Astyanax mexicanus: one gene and its partner. The protein of the gene in region 2 interacts with the protein of the main gene of each other region in a biochemical or structural test. Links are inferred from orthologs where the notes say so. Each region holds a gene or a part of one and is shown on either strand. Other genes may lie near its edges. The genes, in order: tln1 and ret.

Region 1 (10,842 bases), on a different chromosome or scaffold from region 2:
TATTAAAGTCGCTACTGGCGTTTGAAGTTTCGAACGCGTCAATGAACCACCGGAAATGGCGGGACTGGTTCAAAAGGTTTGGCGGTATCCCATGTCTCACTGACTACTTAATAAAGCAGTAAAACTCTTGATGGCTCGTTTGTGTTGTACAGTATCATTATTGATTTTGCAAACAATATGGAATCTTTCACCACCTCCACCTTAACCAAGCGTTCCATTGCTTAGGAGCATTTTGAGGAAATAGCAAAAAATAGGGTGAGCACTAAATATATAAAAAAAAACCTTCTGTTAATTAACATTAACTGTATAGTGTGTTATTCTAATGAAAATATTTATATTTTAAAGGAGCGGTGGCGCGTTTGACCACAAACACTCGTTCAAATGCCAGGGTCATACTTCTAATCATATATATTTTTTAAACATTATATTAGTTATGATTTTCAATAATGACAACAACCAAGTATTTATTGCATAATTTTAATATTTAAAGAGGGTTATCAGCAGATCAGAACAGATACTGAGTGAGCAGTAAATCTCACAGGGTTAATTTGCTTCGTGGTAAAGTGCAGGATAATTTTAGCCACTAGATGTCACTCTTCTCTGAGGCTTCAATGCCTCGAATCAGGAAGAAGCTTCAAAAGCTTTAGTGAGGCTTCATCCGCCCATCACTAGTGATTACAGCTGACTAATTTTTAAATCAATCTTACTAATTTTTTGCAGCTGTATTTTTAAAAAATATGTTTATATTTTACATAAATCTGTGAAGAAATGTGTTAATTTCAAGCTTTCATTTTGTTTTAACAGTGTTTATAAAGTATATAAAAAGTTTTTTTGTAGTTTGATTTTAGGTACTGATGGGTTCAGTGTAGAGGCATTTAAATGCTTAAACTCTTTCCTGAATTTTTTAATGTTCAAGATTCAATTTTGAATCCCAGACCTGTTGGATCAAAGACTCTTGTTAATGTAGCCATATCACTTTGCTTCATTCATTTATGTATTTATTTATTTCTCAGAAAAGTAAATAATAAACTGATTACATTATAATTAGTAAGTAATACTAACAGTATAGTAATTATTGGTATTGGTATTTATCAGGAACAGTTAAATAAGACTCTTCTAGCACTCTTTATAGCACCCATTGTTGAACTATTTTGATGTAAAGAGAAATAAAATTAATAACTAAAATATGTGAAAGGTCCAGTTGCATTTCCATCCTATTAAAAGTGATTATCCTATTTCCCCAGTTACTGCTTTTTATTTCCATTCCTCCTCCTACTCTTCTCACCTCGATTCATCGGCCTTCTTCCTGGGTAGGAGAGGAGTAGGAAGGTAGAGGAATCTCCAACCCAGAAGAAGACAGAGGAGTCAAGGAGAGAAGGATGAAGAACGGAGAGATGTATCATCAATTGAGGAAATGGGACAGCTGATCCCTTTTAATAGTGTGTTGGCTACTGATGAACTGAGCCAATCACAACGCTCGCTTTCAGATCCCCGAACACTGCCCAGCCAATCACAGCTCAGCTGCAGCAAGCAGTCTGCACATATACGTCAATCTTTATAATTGTTCATTTAAATTCCAGCTCTTTGCAGAGAACACGCTACAGTTGCCAGTATTTATACCATTGCCATATATTTACTGCTTAGCTAAAGATCAGTAACTTTTAAAGTTTCTAGACGCGACCAAATAATCGAGTCTTTTAAAGACGGATATCCAGCAGCATCACCGGTTTGATGGTATCAGTGAGAACGCTGTTTATTACGGTGGCCGAGAAAGCCCAGCGCAGTGCAAATTGAAAAGCGCTGCAAAAGCACAAAACACATCCATCAAAATTACAACACAGGCGCAGCAAATAGAAAAACGCGCTGCAAATAGAAAAACGCGCTGCAAATAGAACCACAACACAACGGATGTGAGTCACAACACAACGGAATTTTCCCGGGGGACCTTAAAAGATGCTGTACCAGCTGTATACAAAGGACAATAAGTGGCAAACAAGCTTCTGAAAAGTAAGTTATGTTTATTACCTGTGATTGCCACGGTTGTGTGCATATTATTAAAAGTTCTGCTTCACAAAACGCCTTGTTTGCCACTTATTGTCTTTTGTACACATAGTGAAGTCCGAGACGTACAGTATCTTTTAAGGTCCCCCGGGAAAATTCCGTTGTGTTGTGACTCACTTCCGTTGTGTTGTGGTTCTATTTGCAGCGCGTTTTTCTATTTGCAGCGCGTTTTTCTATTTGCTGCGCCTGTGTTGTAATTTTGATGGATGTGTTTTGTGCTTTTGCAGCGCTTTTCAATTTGCACTGCGTTGGGCTTTCTCGGCCACCGTAGTTTATAGTAGTGAGGACATGAAAACGGAGCCCCCCCCTCTCTCAGTTAAGTTTATTCCTTTCGGTTTTCTTCAGGTGTAGGTCTTGTTGAACACCGTTATCTTACCAGGTAAATGGTTGGGTAGTTGTTACGCCAGGCAGGTAGTTTATATACCACTGAGCTCTTTAGTTAAGACTTCTAATGAACATCTAGCTAACAATCCAATGCAAACTTAGCTAATACTAGCTAATTAGTAGGCACCAACTGATTGTCCCGACGTGGAGCTACGGTTTTAATAGTAGGTTTTGGGCGTAAGTAAGGTGTTTTCTGCTTATAATTAAGAATCTGTTTATAAAGTAAATAGACTACACCGCGAGTCACTCACACAGCTGGTGAGAATAGATTAATTAACAGCAAACTGTGACAAACTGTGTATAATGACTAGTTTCCACACCTCAGGCCGTAGACTAGCTTTAGCCCAGTAAACGCTATGCTAGTAATGCGCATTACCCAAGAGTATCAACTACCAATCAAACATTAACGTGAGTTGTATGAAATTAAATTGGCTAGCTAATTAACCCTTATTTATATAATTTAATTTGTCAAACTTTAATGAACTAATAATAATTATTATTATTATTATTATATATATTTTTTACTACAAACTTAAGTTAATCATAGAACCTAGTTAACTAGTAAGACTACTGAACATCTCTCTTTAAACAGTAGTAACTGCTAGTAACTAGGATTAAAATGGAAATTCGGGATGTCAATGCATTGTTCCATGTCGCTGATTTGAAAATAAGAAACGTTAAACCCGATTTCGGTTGATGAGTCGGTTGATGAGTCGGTTGATGAGTCGGTTGATGAGTCGGTTGATGAGTCGGTTCATGCTGATATTTAGCTCTATTTATTTATTTTTTAAATCCACGCAAACTTCAATTTTTTCTGCAGATTTCCTTTAGTATGCTCTACTGAAGCACTTCTACTTTAAAAGACCAACGGCATCATAACACTTTGCACTTGCTTAGAGCTTTATTAACACCTGTTCATCTACTCATTCATGTTACTATCTAATCAGCAAGTTGTGTTGTAGCAGTGCTGAAAACTATGCCAATAGACCAGCAGCTTCAAACAATCCAGATTCAGAATGCACTTTTATTGCTTGTTTTTCATATTTTGTTTTAAATAAAATTTTGAAGATTGTGCCATTTAATAAAGACAAGAAATAAATGCTTGTGTTTTTTTGTTTTTGTTTGTTTTTTTGTCCACCTGCTGAGAATTATTGAATAAAGTATAAAACACTGAATTGTTTCGGCTGTGCCATAATGAATCAATCTTAATATTTAGATTTCCCTTCCCATCAAAGAATTGTGAATGAGCCAATAGATCAGAATTATAACCTTTTTGTCCCCGTTATTTACATTTACATTATTTGAGGAACATCAGTATTGTAGCTTATCCACATGGTTAAGTTGTGCCAGCTGATTTCCATTGTGCCTGGTGGCCTGGCAGCAGCTTTAGGACGTGCTGTGGATAAAGTTATGGAGATTTCTGCTTGTGCTATTTAAATTGGCGTTCAACACCTGGCCGCCAGGGGGCGCTGATTGGTGTGGCAACTGGGAGTTTGCACTGCTGGGGGAATGGTAGGCCAGCGCCTGGCAGAAAATGAGGTTATGGTCATATGTGGTAGGTTTCTAAGATAGGGAACCCTAGAATTTATATTTTCATGTGGATTTGGAACATTTCCAAAAGCGCTTTATTGTAATAAGAGGAAGACTACAATAAATCTGTGTACAAAATCTTTACAAACTTAATTTATTTTTGTACATTTATTTAGACAAAAATCTACTTTCATAATTAGACCAGAATGACTCAGCTGTTTAAAATATATATTAATATTCACTCTGAATTGATGCATTACAATTATAGAATTATGTAAAGCTTTATGCAACAGTTTTTTTATGCATTTTGTTTTTGCCATGCCTGCAGTGCTGCTTTTTACAATGTGTTTAAATAACACATTTTTTAAAGACATATCTTGAACTTTTGAAGAGAATTTTCGTAAAAATCAAGCTATTTAATTATATTTAAGGAATAACCCCGCCACTTAACCCCTTTACAGGCTTTGGAACGTATACAGGCTACGAGTGTAGATGATACAAAATCCTTATTCTCTGCAGTAAAATAGGTTATTCACATTCTGAAAAATTTGTGGTCTTTAGAGAGACTCCTACAGGTTACTTGTTGAAGCTACCTGTTCATTCTCTGCTCTACTTTATCATTTTAGATCAGTAACATAAATTAACCCCAAATTCTGCAGGTTTGAATGTAGACAAAAATTAGACAACTGTAATGAAACGAAAAGTTTGGAGGACATGAAATGTTTGATTTGTATTCTGGAAAATAGTGATTTTTAAAATGAAGTTAAGGAAAGTGCCAATGTTACGATTGTTATTCATTATATTTTTAAAGTTTTTTAAAGTAATTTTTTTAAAATAATTTCTATTACACTTACAATTCAGATTTGCAGTAACGTTTATTATTACACGTGAAACCTTTTTATGTAATGCTATTACAAGGTTTAGTCTTATAATATCAGGCAGAAAATTAAAAAAAATATTTGCCTGTTAAGAAGTTAAAAAGTGCTTGATTAGGCTGGAAATATGATTGGTGTGTTGTCAGAAAGTCATAACTCAAGAACCTTTTAATGAGTTTTGTCTGATTATATAGACCTCCATTGACAACCGAGTCTATTTTCTGTTTACAGAACTTTGTTGTACTGCTGTTTTACTATCAGACCACAGGATGGAGCTGTAATAGTGGGCCTGTTTTCCAGAGTAAAAGCGAAAGGAAGAGCTGCAGTGCTGAGCTTAAGTTTTTCGTCTATACTTTTATGTTTTAATTTAAATAAACCACATTATTTATCAGCAGTGGAGTGTTCTAGTGGACCACCATAGCAATAGCAAAAATTTCTCAATTTCTGGCATTTTTTGTTGTGGAGGACATGAGCTGCCCCCTCTCAGAAAAATAGAAACAATAGAAGAGAAAGAAAGAGAGAAAATGAAAGTTGTGAACTGTATCGTTCCGCTGCTTCTCTATCTGTGAAGATCTGCAGAACATTCCCCTCCTGGCTGGCTTTTGTTGTTGAGTGAAAAGGCATCCGGTTTATGAAATCTACCATATCTACGCCCTCTGCTTGTCTGCATAGCTCAGAGTGGTATAATTTAACTCCACTCCTATTCCGCCAAGCCCCGCCCCCCTATAATAAGATTGGCTGAGGCACAGACTAGGACGTTTTATTCTCTCTTACTGCAGTTCTAATCTTCTTGTGACCTCTTTATTTTAGCTTGTTCCCACCAAAAAAAAAAAAAAACACGGTTGTTTTGGTTATGTTGATTATTTTGTCACAACGTTGTGCCATCAACAATGTTCTAAAATAGAATGTGTTTTGTTGCCAGATAATGCATAATGTAACATGACCGACATCTAAGAAAGTCAGAAAGTCAAAAGGTACTGTAGTCTTATTACTTAGAGGGAGTGTTGCCTAATTAAACAAAGTTGTGACAATGAACAGGGCCAACTTTAAACAATGTTGTAGCAACATTGTTAGAGGAAACCACGTTTTAACTACTTTGTGTGTTTGCTGGGTTATTGTGGCAATACTTGTTTTTTTTTTTAAAGTGGAGTACTAATTAAATCACTAAATAAATAATATATATTTTATCTGCGTGTTTAGGCTTATGTTCTTTTCACATTTTCACATCATTTTTGTTGTTTACTTTTAACAATAAACTATTTAGCTTTTTATTGTTATACAGTATAAGTAATAGATATTAAATGCTGCACACATAATTACAACATATAAATTATGAGGATATTCAAGGTACAGAAAATATAAATATACATAAATTATGACAAAAACAAAATTAAGTTATACATACGTTTCATAAGATATCAGACATTTGTTGCTTTTTGGAGGGTTATTTATTAGTTTAAAGGAAGCTTAAGCTTAATAGTTAGGAGCAGTTCTGTCTAACTTACACATATGTATAAATAACCTAGTGGTAAGAACAAAATAGGTTTTTACATGTTCCATATGTTTGGTTCACACTAGAGAAATAACAAATTAACAATAACGTCCATAAGAGACATGGTTAATATTTGGTTTACAGTAAGGAAAATAATAAATAAAGAAAGACAGAAAGAACGAAAAAAATAAAGAAAATCTTTTCACAGATTCACAGAAAACAAGTAAATTGGTCACGTTTATAAAATAAGATATTCGTTACAAAGGTACTTCTTATACTACTTTTTCATGTACACGTCTATGAGTAGTTCTGAGTCTAGTCGCTGAACGACCAATCACTTTTGAGGAGGGGCGTGGCCTGTGCGGATACGGGTGTGGGAAAAAATAGCGTTAGCCGGGCTGCTGCTGCTGCTGCAGGGTGGAGCTTTGACGCTGCCTCAACCAGACAAACGGAGGCAAGGAAAAAACCCAGAATCTGACATTTTACCAACATTTCTGGAACTTACACCACTTTGACTGGGGAACGGGACTATATTTACACCGACTGTAGTCCGAAGGTGGACGGCCGGAGGTCGAGGAAAGCGGGGAGGTAAGGCGAAGTGGAAACTGTCTGTGGAAAGAAACGTTTGGTGAAAACTTTGTGAAGGGTGGGAAGTTCCTTCCGACGAGTCGCCCTCAGTCAACGCGTTTTCTCTGCAGTTTATTTAGCGAGTAGTGTAAGTTACTTTTATTCTGTCATATTATGGGTTTAATGCAGAACTATTCGACTAAATTACGATAAATTCCAAAATAGATGCTGTGAGGAATGAGAGAGCTGGAGAACATGAGAGCAGAAATGCTGAGCTAACTTTAGTTAGCTAACGCTAGGTTCTCTCAGCTTTAACGGTTTACTGGCTAAACCTAAACCTGTTGATATGAAACGCGGAAGATTAGCTAGCGTTACAGTTCTCATACTTTCTGAAAGCCTATTGTTAACCTTTGATTATTAAAATATTGTGTTAAAATTGTATTTATGAGTGGCAATAGCTGTAATGTGCCCGAATACAAAGTACACTAACGTTAACTGTGTGAGTTAATGAGAGTTTGGGAGTAAAAAGTCAAGTACGGCAGCTTAACTTAAGTGAGCTAACCTATGTTAGCTGAGTTATGAGCTCGGGCCTGTAACGGTCAACTTCATGCCTGATGTCACGTTTCTAGTTTAACAAACGTGTAATAGCCGCCATCCTAGAAAGTATTGCCAAGTGTACAGCTCATCTTGACCTCCTGTCTGAAGCTCAGTGCTTACTCATAGATTTGGAGATCATGTGTCTCTAATTAGCTAATGTAGCTATGATTTCAAGCGTTATAATGCTAAAAAACTTCCTAACAAAGCTAGCCAGCTAGTGAACTTAACTAGTTACTGAATAGGGCACTGAGAGAGAGAGATATATAGTAATAATAAAGTGTACTGAATGTGTGCGCACTAGGTTAACTAGCTAACTGTCCAACATAGAAGAGCATTACCGGTAGAATGAGGCACTCTGGAGCAGCCACTCACGAGGCTAAGGTCATCATGACCAGTGCCAGTCTCAGCTAGGTTAGACAGAGGTGGACGAAATGCCTAAATCATGTGGCTACCCGTGTTAAAGTTGAAAAAATTACACCTTACGTAGAAGTACCAAAGTAATAGTACCATGATATTTTACGATTGTAATGTCCAATGTCTTAAGACTTGACTGCCTAATGTTGGCAACAAATAAAAAACAGTGTTTAAATAAGCAAAAATGTAAATTAAAATCTATGTATGTAATAAAATATTTAACTTCATATTGCTGCGCATATACATATTTAAATATTTTATCTTAAAAGGTATTTAAAAGTTAAAATGTTATTTAAACACGATATTCATCAAGTAAATTACTGGTATTGCATCCTATGTGGCTTTGTTTGATCACTTCACCTTAAGTTAGAATGTTAAACCAAATTCTTCTTTCTTATTTTATTTAATGGAGGCATAACATTAAAAATTAAAGGGATTCTGTATTTACAAAAAAAGTGGCTTAAAAGAGGCTTAAGCATACATTCCAAAATACAATACAATCCTATACAGAACTGCATAAATCAATATGATATATTCCATAATGTTTGTAGGCATAGACATTTCCAAAATTTTCCTAAACAAGTTGCTCAGCGGTTGCACTGTGTGCTTGCGTACTGTAACTACAGGATGTCCAACATGTCAAATAAGTTCAAGACAGAGTGTATGCTATATGCTGACTGGTATGTACACTTTGTTTTTAAACAAAAAGACCTTCAAAATACTAAATTAAAAACAGTAAAACATGTATTTTACTTTGTGACTGTCTTTGTAATCACTACATCTTGAGGGGCAAGTTATATGTCTCTCATCTCTCTGGGTTGATGGAGCCTCATGCCATACCTATGGGATGAGCTATGGTGCCATGTGTACCTTACCTCACTAGTTAGCACTCTGGTGATTCAGTGCAGTCATAACAACAGTGGTCAAATATCTAGTGTAAAGCCCTCCCAGAGGAGTAGAAGCTTTTAAAGCAGCAAAGAGGAGACCGCCTCCCTATAAGTACAATTGAACTGTTGAGAGATTGGGTGTTTGTGTATGTGCTCAATTTTTCTACACATATTTGGTCCCTGTTTGTATACAAATACATTTCCCTGGTGCAGCTGGGCTTGGTGTTCCAGGTAATGTAAGTAGTAATTTGACCCTGCCACCTATCACCATGTTTCATTTCATTGTATGCTTTCCTGCATGGTAGTAGGGTGGCACAACAGAGTGTGTGTGTGTGCGTGCGTATGTGTGGCTGCACAGGAGCTGTCAGATGGGTGATATCAGAGGAAAAGATGCACCCTGCAGGGATGGAAAGTCTGCACATATTTGGAGAAACAGTCTAGGAGGCTGAGAGTGTAAAGATGTACAACTGTGAATTACACCTTTACTGAACAGTTCAGCCTGCATACACTGCTGACATAAAGAAAAGATTTAGCCAGAAGTTAAATTTGCAGTTTTTCTCTTACCCCGAACTTGATAGATTGGCCAAGACATGTCTTTTTTTTTTAGCTATTAGTGTAAATACTGAAGTCATCTAAATTAGTGTGAATTAGAGTGTCAGAGACTTACTTTTAGCACTGTAAATTTAGTATTACAGTATTTTTAGGTTAAATTAATATAAGCAAGCTTCAGACCTTAAACATGTCTTAGCCAATCGCTTACATTTTGGGTAAGGGAAGGGGATAGGCAGGATGCTAATGAGATTTTTAGCCTACACAGCATTTTGAGATAGAGATTTCCCATTTAAAGAAAATATAGTATACAACTAGGGTTAATCTTTGTCCAGGAAACTACCTCATTAAGTATGACACGGCATGCAAAAATACAGTATTCGCTTTAGAAGATATGCTATCTTGATGGATTATCCTACCTGGAATACTAAAGTTCTTACTAGATGTGAAAGTGTTTTGAAATAGACTGTTTGGCATTGTTTGTCAGGAATGACACATTTTTGTTTTTGCCAAATGTTCCAGTTACCCACATCAAAGTATGACATGTAATCTGCTAACCAGTAGGGTGTAATTATCATAGTAAACACTGACTTCGCTCCAGCAGAGCCGTCACTCAGCAGATATCTCTTCATCTATCTATTCAAGGTTAGCGGGTGTTGTCACTGCAAAATTGCTTTATGAACCAGCAATTAATTTCCATGCAGTTTGACCCACATTGTGCCGACAGCGGACTGTGTGGCATAGTCGTTATGCTGCCTCAATGGTTTGCATGGGTCTTGGGGTGGTTCATCCTCAGGCGTTCTCTGTATGGGTTCTTCCCTTTTCTTAGGTGGTTGAAAGAGCATTCAGTTCAATTTTGTCTCGTTCTGCCTTTTGGTTTATGCAAGATGAGCTAATCTGCCCAGGGGTAGCCCATTTAGATGAGCTGCAGGGTGGGACCTGGTGCGCTGGATTCAAAACTAGGGGGTGTTAATCTGCTTTGTCTGGCCTATTTGGCTGTGTAGCAGGAGTGTAACAATGCCAATATAAAGAGCTGTAGCAGAATAGTGTTTTGAAATTCTATACAAACGTATTAATATTGCAATAAAATTGAATGAACACAAACAGATATTTTTTTTCTAAAAGATGAGTACATATCTATCCACAGCATATCCATGTCTATGTCCTGCTACAATGCTTGATATAAAATAAAATACTCACTGTATTAATTTTCATGACATCTATGTGAGGCAGAATGTATTTGCAAAATATTTTTTAGAGTAATGTATATCTCGCTGCTGTGGCTTGAATCATGAATTGTGTGCATATGTGTGTAAGCTAATAAGACTATCCTATTATATAGTGACTGCCATTTTTCCAGTGTAATTGTGTGAAATTAATGTAAAGTCCCACACATCCTGATGATTAGTGTGAATTATAATATTCAAATGCATGTACTGTAAGTTTATACAAAAAAAATTGCATGATGTGAACCAACGCACCAACT
Region 2 (10,960 bases):
TGTCAAGCTGTAAATGACTAAACATCCAGTGATTTCACCAAATAAAATTATTACTCTTTTCCCTTAATTGGACATCCAAAAGGGACAAAAAAAATTCTCTCTCTCTTAGTTATTAGTTAATATTTACATTTTGTGGGGATCAACATTGTATTAACAAGTAAACATGTAGATCACAAAACTTATGTTCAGAAAGACCAATATAGCTCTTCACAACATAGTGTGCAATTAATTGTTTATATTATAAGAAAATTAAATAGGTAAATAAACAAATATATACATAGACAATCTATTTTCTAATTTGTAAAATTTGTAAAATTCAGCAAACCTAGGTGCTGGACTTTTGTTCATTTTAGGGCATTGTATGTTGTCAAAAAGGGGGCAGGTGGTGCAAAAATTAATTATTATTGTCCATCCATTAATTCCCATGTGATGAGTGGCTAGAATTAGCTTTATTTTATTTTACTTTTCTGTTAAACCTTAAATGGTGCAGCCTCTGCTGTCTGTTGCATCTTTTACGGTGGAACAGGAAATGTAGATAGCTAGCTAACTAGCTCCTGAGATGTGCTACTAGCGATTTTCTTATGCTGTTATGAACTAAATTGCCATAAATTATTAAAACTACATAGTGTGTCTACACACTACATGAAGTGTGCCTCTAAAAACTCTGTTTCCCCCTCCCCCTACAACTTGGTGTGAAAGTGCTAAACAGAGGGGTAGGGCCAAGGGGTAAAATGAGACTGGGCCTTGGTACACAGGGAGTTCACACTCATATCAGTTCTTTCTCAGAAATTATCTAGAACACAATTGTTCTTTTTTGGCGCAGTTGATCCTAGCTATTGTATATTCCAGAAGAGTAATGTCTTGAAAATAAGTAAGCTAAGGGAGCTTCAATCGGTTTAGTGAATTAAGCTGCTGTCACCATGATCCAGAGTTCGCAGGTTTGAATCCTGGGTCATGGTGATGGCCATCAGCAGCCAGAGTCCGAGCACAGTTGGCCATGCTCTTACTAGATTTATGTCACATGTATCTGAGGAGGCATGTGTTAACCTTCACCCTCCTAGTGTTGGGGGCATTATTAGTGATAGGGGAGGTCCTAGTGAGTGGGTCGAGTAATTGGTTTTCTAGATTTGTGAGAAATAAATAAAAAAAAGAACATAAGTAGACCAAATGATGCTTAGGGATATATTTTTAATATTGCTTTATTGGTTGCTTTTTGATGAATGAAAAGCAGTTCTGCAGATGCTTCATATGTATGAGCCGCATGTTTAATATATTATATATACTCTCTCTAATATATTAGTTCCACAAAATATATTAGAGAGAGTGTCTTAAACATAGGACCAAAATATGTACATGCCCAAATCATGTACAGTACATATACGTACCAACTACTGCCAAGTTAAAAATGACAAATGGTTCTGTATAAACTTTACATTTATACAGTCATTTGGGTGGAGCAAATGCTGAATCTTTACATTTTTACAGTAAAAATATTGTGAAAAAAATATTCCATTGGAAGATTGAATTGAATTTATGTTTTATGAATTCAATCAAAGACCTCCTTCTCTGTCAGTTCATGAGAAAGCTTTTCATTTTGAGGTGATTAAATTACCCTCATTAGTTGAGCAGCCCTAAAGATGGACGTAAATTGGTCAACTGATTTAGGAAGTGGACTAATGATCATTGTTGCTTGAGGTCCCAATGGGAATGTGTTTCTCATTAGCACATCTCATTATCATTGTCATTTCAGCTACCGTGAGTCTAATGCATAGTCTGCAAATGGCTCAAGCACTAAACCAAGCACCGATTGGTTATGCTTCCCCCTAAAAAAAGACAAAACACAATCACTATCAGTGATATTCTACTTTGAATGAGCTCAAATCTCCAGATGATGTTATCACAGTCATATTACACGCAAAAAAAACTCAGTGTGGTCATATATGTCATGGATCTGTCCTCGCATTTGCTTGTCTGTATTGATTCACATTGGCCATATGTCTCACAATGCCTGCTGTAGAGTAATCTGAGCTTTGTTAATATGGACCTTTTAGGCTGGGTTATGTGCCCTTTTATGTATAGTTATGTAAACAATGCCTTTCTGTTGGACAATATCAAGAATATCTACAATAAATGATAAATATTATTTACAAAACAAAGCAACAGAGCATCTTCAAATCAACAATTTGGGTCCAGTTTCTCAAATGGATCTTAGTGATAAGATCATATTAACATGTAAAGAGATTCCTTGGTGTGATGCTTCCTTTATCATTTATTCTTCATATTATTTTATTATTTAGTCATACTGTTTAAGATGTTTTTAGAAACAAAATTATGATGAAGTTTAGTAAATAGAATGACATGGCAAAAGTCATAAGACAGCAGTGTGTATCTGATCTTGAAGTGTTTCTTCATGGCATGGCTTGGGAATATCTAGTTTAATATCTAGTCTAGTATTATTGATGTTAAACACTGGAGTTGAGTGAGGTCAGACATATGTGACACTTAATTTCTGAAGTTGCGTGTTTTTTTTTTCATCAACAATATATATATATATATATATATATATATATATATATATATATATATATATATATATAATTATATAAAACAGTGTGAATTTTTCTTTTGCTAAAAACAGCGTAAAAAGTAGTACCCTGATGTGATAATTAGGGGTGGGTAATATATGGCATAATATTTCAGGGTATAATATTGTTCACGATAATCAAAAATGTTGCCAATATTATAGCGTACTATACAATATGGCACACCCCTAATATTAATGTGTTGTTTTATGTGTGGATTACCACACATGAAACTTTCTTTACAATTATTTTTGGGTCCTGTGATTATATATTTTGTCCTATGTCTGTGCATGTTATTAAAAAAAAAGTTTTCATTTGAATATCTGAAATATTTGTCTGCATCTATTAGTGTGCTGAGCAGTTTTATTTTTACAGCTGCATTTATCTGACTGAATACAACAAATACCTTGGCCTTGTGGTTGATCTGAGACAGTTCAGCTGTTTGGAGCCAGTAGACTATTGGACCAGTGCAGGGTCCTAGAATAAACCCAGCATAAGCACATTTCAGGCCCACTTTAGCTTAGTATAGGTTTCACTCTGGGTTCAGCCGTGTACACATCGATTGGTGTGATTGTCGTGTGACGGACTGGTGACCAGCCCTGGAGGCAGAGAATCCGTGTATCATTCGTTCATTTGATATTCAATTGAGAATCAAAATCGGAAAATTAAAAAACCAATTCGTTTTTTCGTTTTTCGTTTTTGAATATAATACCAAAAAACGAATAACGGCTTGTATTTTGTATTTTTATTTGGTTATCCAAACAAAAATTGGAAATTTAAAAAACGGACCAGGAGCCGAATTTGATTTTGATTTTGAACTTGACCCATTTGTGTGCCCCGGAAGTTACTGATTTGTTTATTCTTGGTGTTTATTCTTGGTGACACTGGGACCGTGTACCTTTTCAAATGAAAACAGTGAGGGAAGAAGTTTACTACACCATGTATAGACTAACCAGCTAGCTAGCTAGGTTAGTTAGCCAGCTAGTCACGTATATAAAAAAGTATGTAGGCGGCAATTCACAGAATAACATTAACTAAATATGACATTTAGCTACGGAACGTTAGACAAACACCTGAAAGATCCTGCCGATTTTTTCTGTTGTCATATCGTCTTCTTTCACTGCAACGCGTTAAGTTCCTCTGAACAAGATAAAACTCTCCATCCTCAACTCCATCCAAAGCCTACAGCAATACAGACTGTGTAGATAACACTGCAGTGAACTCCCGCGCAACAGAAACCCACCAAGAATAAACAAATCAGTAACTTCCGGGGCACACAAATGGGTCAAGTTCAAAATCAAAATCAAATTCGGCTCCTGAATCCGTGTATCATTCGTTCATTTGATATTCAATTGAGAATCAAAATCGGAAAATTAAAAAACCAATTCGTTTTTTCGTTTTTGAATATAATACCAAAAAACGAATAACGGCTTGTATTTTGTATTTTTATTTGGTTATCCAAACAAAAATTGGAAATTTAAAAAACGGACCAGGAGCCGAATTTGATTTTGATTTTGAACTTGACCCATTTGTGTGCCCCGGAAGTTACTGATTTGTTTATTCTTGGTGGGTTTCTGTTGCGCGGGAGTTCACTGCAGTGTTATCTACACAGTCTGTATTGCTGTAGGCTTTGGATGGAGTTGAGGATGGAGAGTTTTATCTTGTTCAGAGGAACTAAACGCGTTGCAGTGAAAGAAGACGATATGACAACAGAAAAAATCGGCAGGATCTTTCAGGTGTTTGTCTAACGTTCCGTAGCTAAATGTCATATTTAGTTAATGTTATTCTGTGAATTGCCGCCTACTAAATATGACATTTAGCTACGGAACGTTAGACAAACACCTGAAAGATCCTGCCGATTTTTTCTGTTGTCATATCGTCTTCTTTCACTGCAACGCGTTTAGTTCCTCTGAACAAGATAAAACTCTCCATCCTCAACTCCATCCAAAGCCTACAGCAATACAGACTGTGTAGATAACACTGCAGTGAACTCCCGCGCAACAGAAACCCACCAAGAATAAACAAATCAGTAACTTCCGGGGCACACAAATGGGTCAAGTTCAAAATCAAAATCAAATTCGGCTCCTGGTCCGTTTTTTAAATTTCCAATTTTTGTTTGGATAACCAAATAAAAATACAAAATACAAGCCGTTATTCGTTTTTTGGTATTATATTCAAAAACGAAAAACGAAAAAACGAATTGGTTTTTTAATTTTCCGATTTTGATTCTCAATTGAATATCAAATGAACGAATGATACACGGATTGCAGAGTAATGCATCATGGCTGTCCAGCTCAACGTGGATAGAAGGTCTTGCTTTTTTATCCACCCGTTTTGTGGTAAATCCCGCTCTTCTGTTCCAGGGTTGGATAGCAGATCACCCTCACAAACAGTCCGCCTAATGGACCAATCCTAGCGCAGGCGGTGGGGCAGACCTATCCAATCCCAACGCAGGAGGCGGGGCATGTGTAAATACTGGCGGGAAAAAAACATCGCCATGCGCCATGAGTTAATCAGCCAACCAGAGAGTAACAGGCATGACCCAGCAGCTACTGAAACAAGTTCAGAGCAACAGCATTTACATCTAAAAATGCTAAATTATCACTATATTTGTGCAGTTTTTATATTATATATTATATATAATACAAAATAAGAATAATAAAAAAAGATTAATCCACGCACACAATACACAATTTTCAAATTAGTGTAGTATATTTAATTATTTTATATAAAATACAAATACATACAGACATACATGCATACTGTAAATAATTCAACTAAAATATTCATTTTCATTCAATATATTAATACACATATTATGTATAATTAAACAATGCAATATGCTGCACTGGTCCAAAAGTCAATGTTAAAAAGCCTAAAATAGTAAGGCTGCCCGAGTGGGACACAATGCACCATGATATAATAACAGGAATCTAATATATGCAGAACACCGAAAAACTATACTTGTACTTATATAACTAAAGGCCAGTGTGTTATATCCTGTATAAAGACATGCAGTCTGTACATACAAGCATAAATAGTAATGCCAGTAGAATATATACAAAGGCGTATATGTTTTAGCCATTTTAGCCATAGCCATTGTTAGTTGCTGACAATATAACTAAATATAAATGTGATAAAAGTGTTAAAGGAACAATCCAGGGTAAAATGGACTTGGGGTGCAGTGAAAACTGGTATGAATAAATGTTTTTGTTAAATAGCCCACCTCTGTTCAACCCCAACATTCAGAAATAGGATGCTTTTAGCCGATGCTGCCCATGCAAAGAAATCTCTTTTTTTACACCATTAGCAAGCACAAGATAGCAACAGCTGGAATACTTATAATATACCTATATACATTGCTCCTTTTGCTAGCATTATAAGCCTGTTGGGAGCATCAGCTAAAATTACTGTATTTTGGAATCCAGGGGGAGAATGAATGTAGGCAAAATTTAGCAGTCGTTATCATGTTTCAATACACCCCAAGTCTCTTTCACACTGGATTTCTCCTTTAAGACCTCAATCACATTTTAACATTTAATGTGTACTGTCAGATTGCTGTATTCATGCATCCTTATCCTTTTTTTTAGCATGTATCTATAAACTACCAAGCATTATATAGTATGTATGTATGTTTGTTTGTGTATATGTTTGTATATTTGTGTATCACTTACTTTCATTACATTCTTACAGTTTACCTACAGAAGTCTCTCCAACAGTTCACTTTAACATGTGATTTTGTGTTTTAGTCACAAGAAAAAACAACAGCACTTGCTGATTGGAGAATGTCAGATTTATTAGAGATACAAAGATAACCAACGCGTATTAGCACTCAAGCCTTCATCAGGCTTAAAAGACAAAAGCTAATAACACTCCAGTTTTTAAAACACACATGATTACAAAACAACCAATAAAAACACCCCAATTATTAAAGGTCACATAATGAGAGACTGACAGCTCAATTCTTTGATTTTACCAAATTGAAAACCTTTGGAATATAATCAAGATGGATGATCACAAGTCAACAAACCAAGTTGAACTGCTTGATTTTTTGCACCAGGAGTGGCATAAAGTTAACTAAAACTAACATAAACTATTGTTGTGTGAACAAAACTCAGTTAAGTTGAATAAACTAAACTGATTCAAGTCTAGCTTTAACTCAGTTAAGTTGAATACTTAACTTTGTATATATTTACAACTTAACTGAGTCAAAGATAAAAGATGAATTGAGTTAAGTTGACACAATATATATATTTTTTTTCAGTGTAGCTGAACTACTGTGTGTGTCAGTGTGATGCACTACACTCCGAGTCATTTGTTTAGACTCTTTATCAGACTCGGTTTTCTCGTTTCTCCTTATTATTATCATCCTGTGATTCTCCAGACTTTCTGTGGGAAGAAGCTCTCTCTCTGTGTGTGGTGGTGGTGATGCTGTGGAGAACCCAGCTGAGGATGTGAGTGTGGTCTGAGCCTCCTCCTCCTCCTCCCCCTGCATCGCCCCGCACACACGCTACGCAGCTAACGTTAGCGCCGCACTCACCAACTCGTCAATGGGATACTCAGACTACGGACTTTTTTGGCTCCTGCGAAAAGCGTTAAACGGCTGAATTCCTAAGGCTCTGTTTTTTTTTGTAAAAAATTCAGAGCGGCGGCGGTAGCGGCACAGTTCATCATCAGGTTGATTTAGTCTGTTGAATCAGAAATCCCACTTATGAGTGATAAGTATGGGCACGGCGCGCGGAACGCTGAGGGGGGACGTTGTTGTGGTCCTCTTGCTGCTGTGTGAAGGTAAGGATGGGCTATTTCCTTCATTTCTTCTTCTGTTTTCCTACTGAGTGCTGAGTATTTTCTCTGTGGTGTTTTATTATATAGCGAGTCAGTTGTGCGTGTTTAGCGTTTTTTAGAGGCGCCGCGCTTTCTTTCTGGCATTATGGCGCGTTTACACTTGTTCTCCTTGAAGTTAAAACAAGTTCTGATTCAGATTCCTTACAGTCTATTTTCACGTGCCTATCTTATTATTTTTACCGTAATTGTTAGGCTTGTCACGATAGCCATTTTTTGACGATATATTGTCCATATTATTGTCATTTTAAGATCAGTTAATGCCTCTGATATAAAGCATTTCTACACTTATTTTGAAAAAGAAATGCAGGTTTAACTATTAACAATATTTAGACACTATAATTAGAATATAAGAATATTTAAATAAAATATCAGAAATTAAAAAAAGAAGAATAAAGTTGACGTCCATTCTCATTTACATTAATGATCACTTCTCCTTAACCCTCTGTGGCAATAATTCTATTTTTTAGAGAGAAATATATATATTTTTGGAAGTTTGGGAGTCCCTGTAGATATAGCTATAACTTATATTTAGATTTTGACTTTTGATAACAAGCTAATAATTTAAATCAGGCGTTTTAGAGCAAGAAAGCACACAAAACATGTAGAAGATAGAAGATGGTCTCCACCAGGACCAGAGATGAGAACTGCACAAAGCAACAGATATAAATACACCGTTTTTTCAAGTTAACAACAACAATCTAAGAGTATTGTAATAATATAAAAAGCTAAATATATTTCTTTACATATTCTTGCACATATAAATTTGTAAATAATTGTACATCTCATTGTATAAGACATTGATACACCTTGTAACATTATATTATAGATAGATAGAACAATAAGGTATTGAATCATATGGCATGTAAAATCTGGTTTGTTGTTTAAGAGAAACACAATGCCATAGAGGGCTAAGTAAACACAATGTCCAATATTAAGCTCAGCTTAAATGATTGAGGTAATTGTACATACACATGTTGTACATAATTTTTTATGGCAGGCCATATTTTAATTGTCACATATAGAGAGCGTATGCAGTTACATGTTTTGTATTGTAGGGTGATCTATGCATTAATATATCTAAAATGTAACTTTAGAACTTCCATTAAGATACTAATTGGCCGGATTCAATAAATTAGCCATACAAAGCTGCAAAAGCTTAATTCCTCATATATTTCCACACCCCTCAAGTAATAAATGGAGTTATGTAGCACATTGTGGTTATGAAAAAAACAGACAGTCTATTTATACTGCAGCCTATTTATTTTTACAGCCAGGCATTGCAGTGTCCAGGCTTAAATACATCCTAGACCATCTCCCAGATCTCCCTCCCGTGCTCTCCCATTCTGCATGTTCAGGGATTTGTTTCTTCCATTCTGTAAGTGAGAGGCTGCATTGAATCCAGAGGACTTGTGACCTAGTATGCCACATATTTCCCGCAAGCAATATGCACACTGTTATATATTATAATATTATAATCCCATTTAAAACCCTCTGTCCAACTGTACTAACACTCCCCTCTCAAATCGACTATATTTATATTCTAACTCATAGCTCGGGAGTTTTTAGATGGCACAGTGTGAGCAGAGATTTACACTAAAAGAGAAGAGTCATGCTGGTGCGGTGTGAATGTAGGCAACGTAGGCAAAAGCAGTACATAGCAGAGGCTTTTTTTTCTGCTATTTTGGTCCTTCAGAAAGCATGCCACCGTATGTGCATGCATGTGAGCGCTGCATTTCAACATTACCTCATTATGGCATGTGATGGAGAGCAGAGGTTGAGCTGTGATTCTGATGACGAGTAAATGGTAAATTAAGCTTGCAGTGTCTAAAGAGTTGTACTATAAGGATGACAGGTGCTACAGTCTAGCTCAGTAAAGACCAGCAACAAATGCGAGACATGTTTGTGGTGAACTCCATTTCAATTTATATGCAAATGGAAATGCAAGTTTTTAGGAGCCATTTGTAAAGGTTATCAGTCTCTCGATAAACAACGGCAAGACTTATATTTCCTTGCCTGATTTACACCGAGGGAGGAGATACTGAAAGTAGGCCAGCGTGGATGCAGTCTGTACTATAAAATGAGTAATGTGAAATATTATATATATTTTTTTAGTTTAGCAAGGGCAGTTCACAGTCAGAATTAGAGCCACGATATGTATAATGTAATATTACATTATTGTATAGAGTATCACAGTTTATTGATGGTACTGAATAATTCAGACATGGATGTGTGGTTCAGATTCAGCTCGCACTACAGGGTCTCGTAATGTAAGCTCAGTAAACGTACAGGGACTCAAGCCACACGGCAACTAAGCTTTCAGTGTAAACATAAACCTGTGTGCTGAAGAAGATGTAGCAGGTTTTCAGATTGCACAACAGCAGTATTTTATTCGTTGATTATATTTTTATAAAACATTCATTTGCCCCTTATCTATTGAGAAGGACATATCTATTTTATGTTTTCATCAGGTGTGTAATGTTTGTAAAGGTTATTCAGTTCCTGAGTTATTATAAGTATACATTTATTGTTTAAGGTTAGTCACTTTTGTAAATGTACAAGACAAGCTGCAGTGGATGAGAGCATAAAGCAAAGCCACTTTATTGGGTTTAATCCAGAAATCACTGTAGCAGTGCATAGTGTGTGTGTGTGGGGGGGGGGGGGGGGCAGACAGGGTAAACATAGGCATATCCGCAATTCCAAACCAAGCAAACAGGCAGTTAGAACAAAACAAGATAACACTCCAACAATCAAACTAAGACAAACAGGTTGAGAAAAATCAGGGATAACACTGCTTGCAGGGATAACACTGCAGACTGACTGTAGTGCAAAGCTTTATGGGAAAACAATGAAAGCAACAGAGAATGCATACATGGACACACAAACAACAGGTGAGGACAGTAATCAGCAGCCGCACTCAGGGTGGCTCCATTGTGGTGTACAACCAGTTTGGTTGATTGTGAACAACAGAACCATCGTGATTACAACGTGAGAAAACCCTTCCTTAATGCGCAGCCCCTAAAGCACCAAAGCTGGAATCGCGGGGAGGGCTCGGACCAGACCTGGACCACTGTGTAAGATAGGACACCTAGTGGCAGGGCTGGATCAACAACAAGACCTGGAACTGGTTTCTAGACAGAAATGGAACAAGCAGCTAACACAAGCCAAAAGTTAAGACCGGAACAAGGACCTGCTTAGGACTGAGACAAGGGTTTAGTAGAAGATGTGGGTCGAAAGGGACTCTGAATCGTGAATACAGCAAATTTCAGATAACAAATGAGTAACCAGGAAAGAGACCAACATTTTATATGTCCAAAAGAGGTGGTCAAAGTCCAGATGACCTGGACTATGGTTTGGTTTGCTTGTAGCGTAAAAGCTCTTTTTTTTAGATGTTTTAGACTTTAGGGAAGTTGAGACAGGCTATCATCAACTATTCATTAAAGAGAAGAAAAAAAACAGCGTTGTGCCAAAATCCAAATCCAACTCTGCATGCACTCATGTTGCTAGCAGTTTGTGTGCAAACATTTACTCCTGTG

What was found.
Region 1: the proteins of ret (region 2) and tln1 interact in a surface display test, tested with the Homo sapiens proteins (2 studies listed by BioGRID and IntAct, with this or other methods). The link is inferred for Astyanax mexicanus from reciprocal best matches to the Homo sapiens genes RET and TLN1.

What each region holds. Positions count from the first base shown.
Region 1 is NC_064427.1:27,067,111-27,077,952, reverse strand, and holds the start of tln1 (talin-1), read left to right. Parts: upstream 1-6,735; 5' UTR 6,736-6,930; intron 6,931-6,960; exon of another isoform or gene 6,961-7,057; intron 7,058-10,842. UniProt on the Homo sapiens protein: High molecular weight cytoskeletal protein concentrated at regions of cell-matrix and cell-cell contacts. Involved in connections of major cytoskeletal structures to the plasma membrane.
Region 2 is NC_064414.1:37,610,270-37,621,229, forward strand, and holds the start of ret (proto-oncogene tyrosine-protein kinase receptor Ret), read left to right. Parts: upstream 1-7,064; 5' UTR 7,065-7,306; coding exon 7,307-7,370; intron 7,371-10,960. UniProt on the Homo sapiens protein: Receptor tyrosine-protein kinase involved in numerous cellular mechanisms including cell proliferation, neuronal navigation, cell migration, and cell differentiation in response to glia cell line-derived growth family factors (GDNF, NRTN, ARTN, PSPN and GDF15).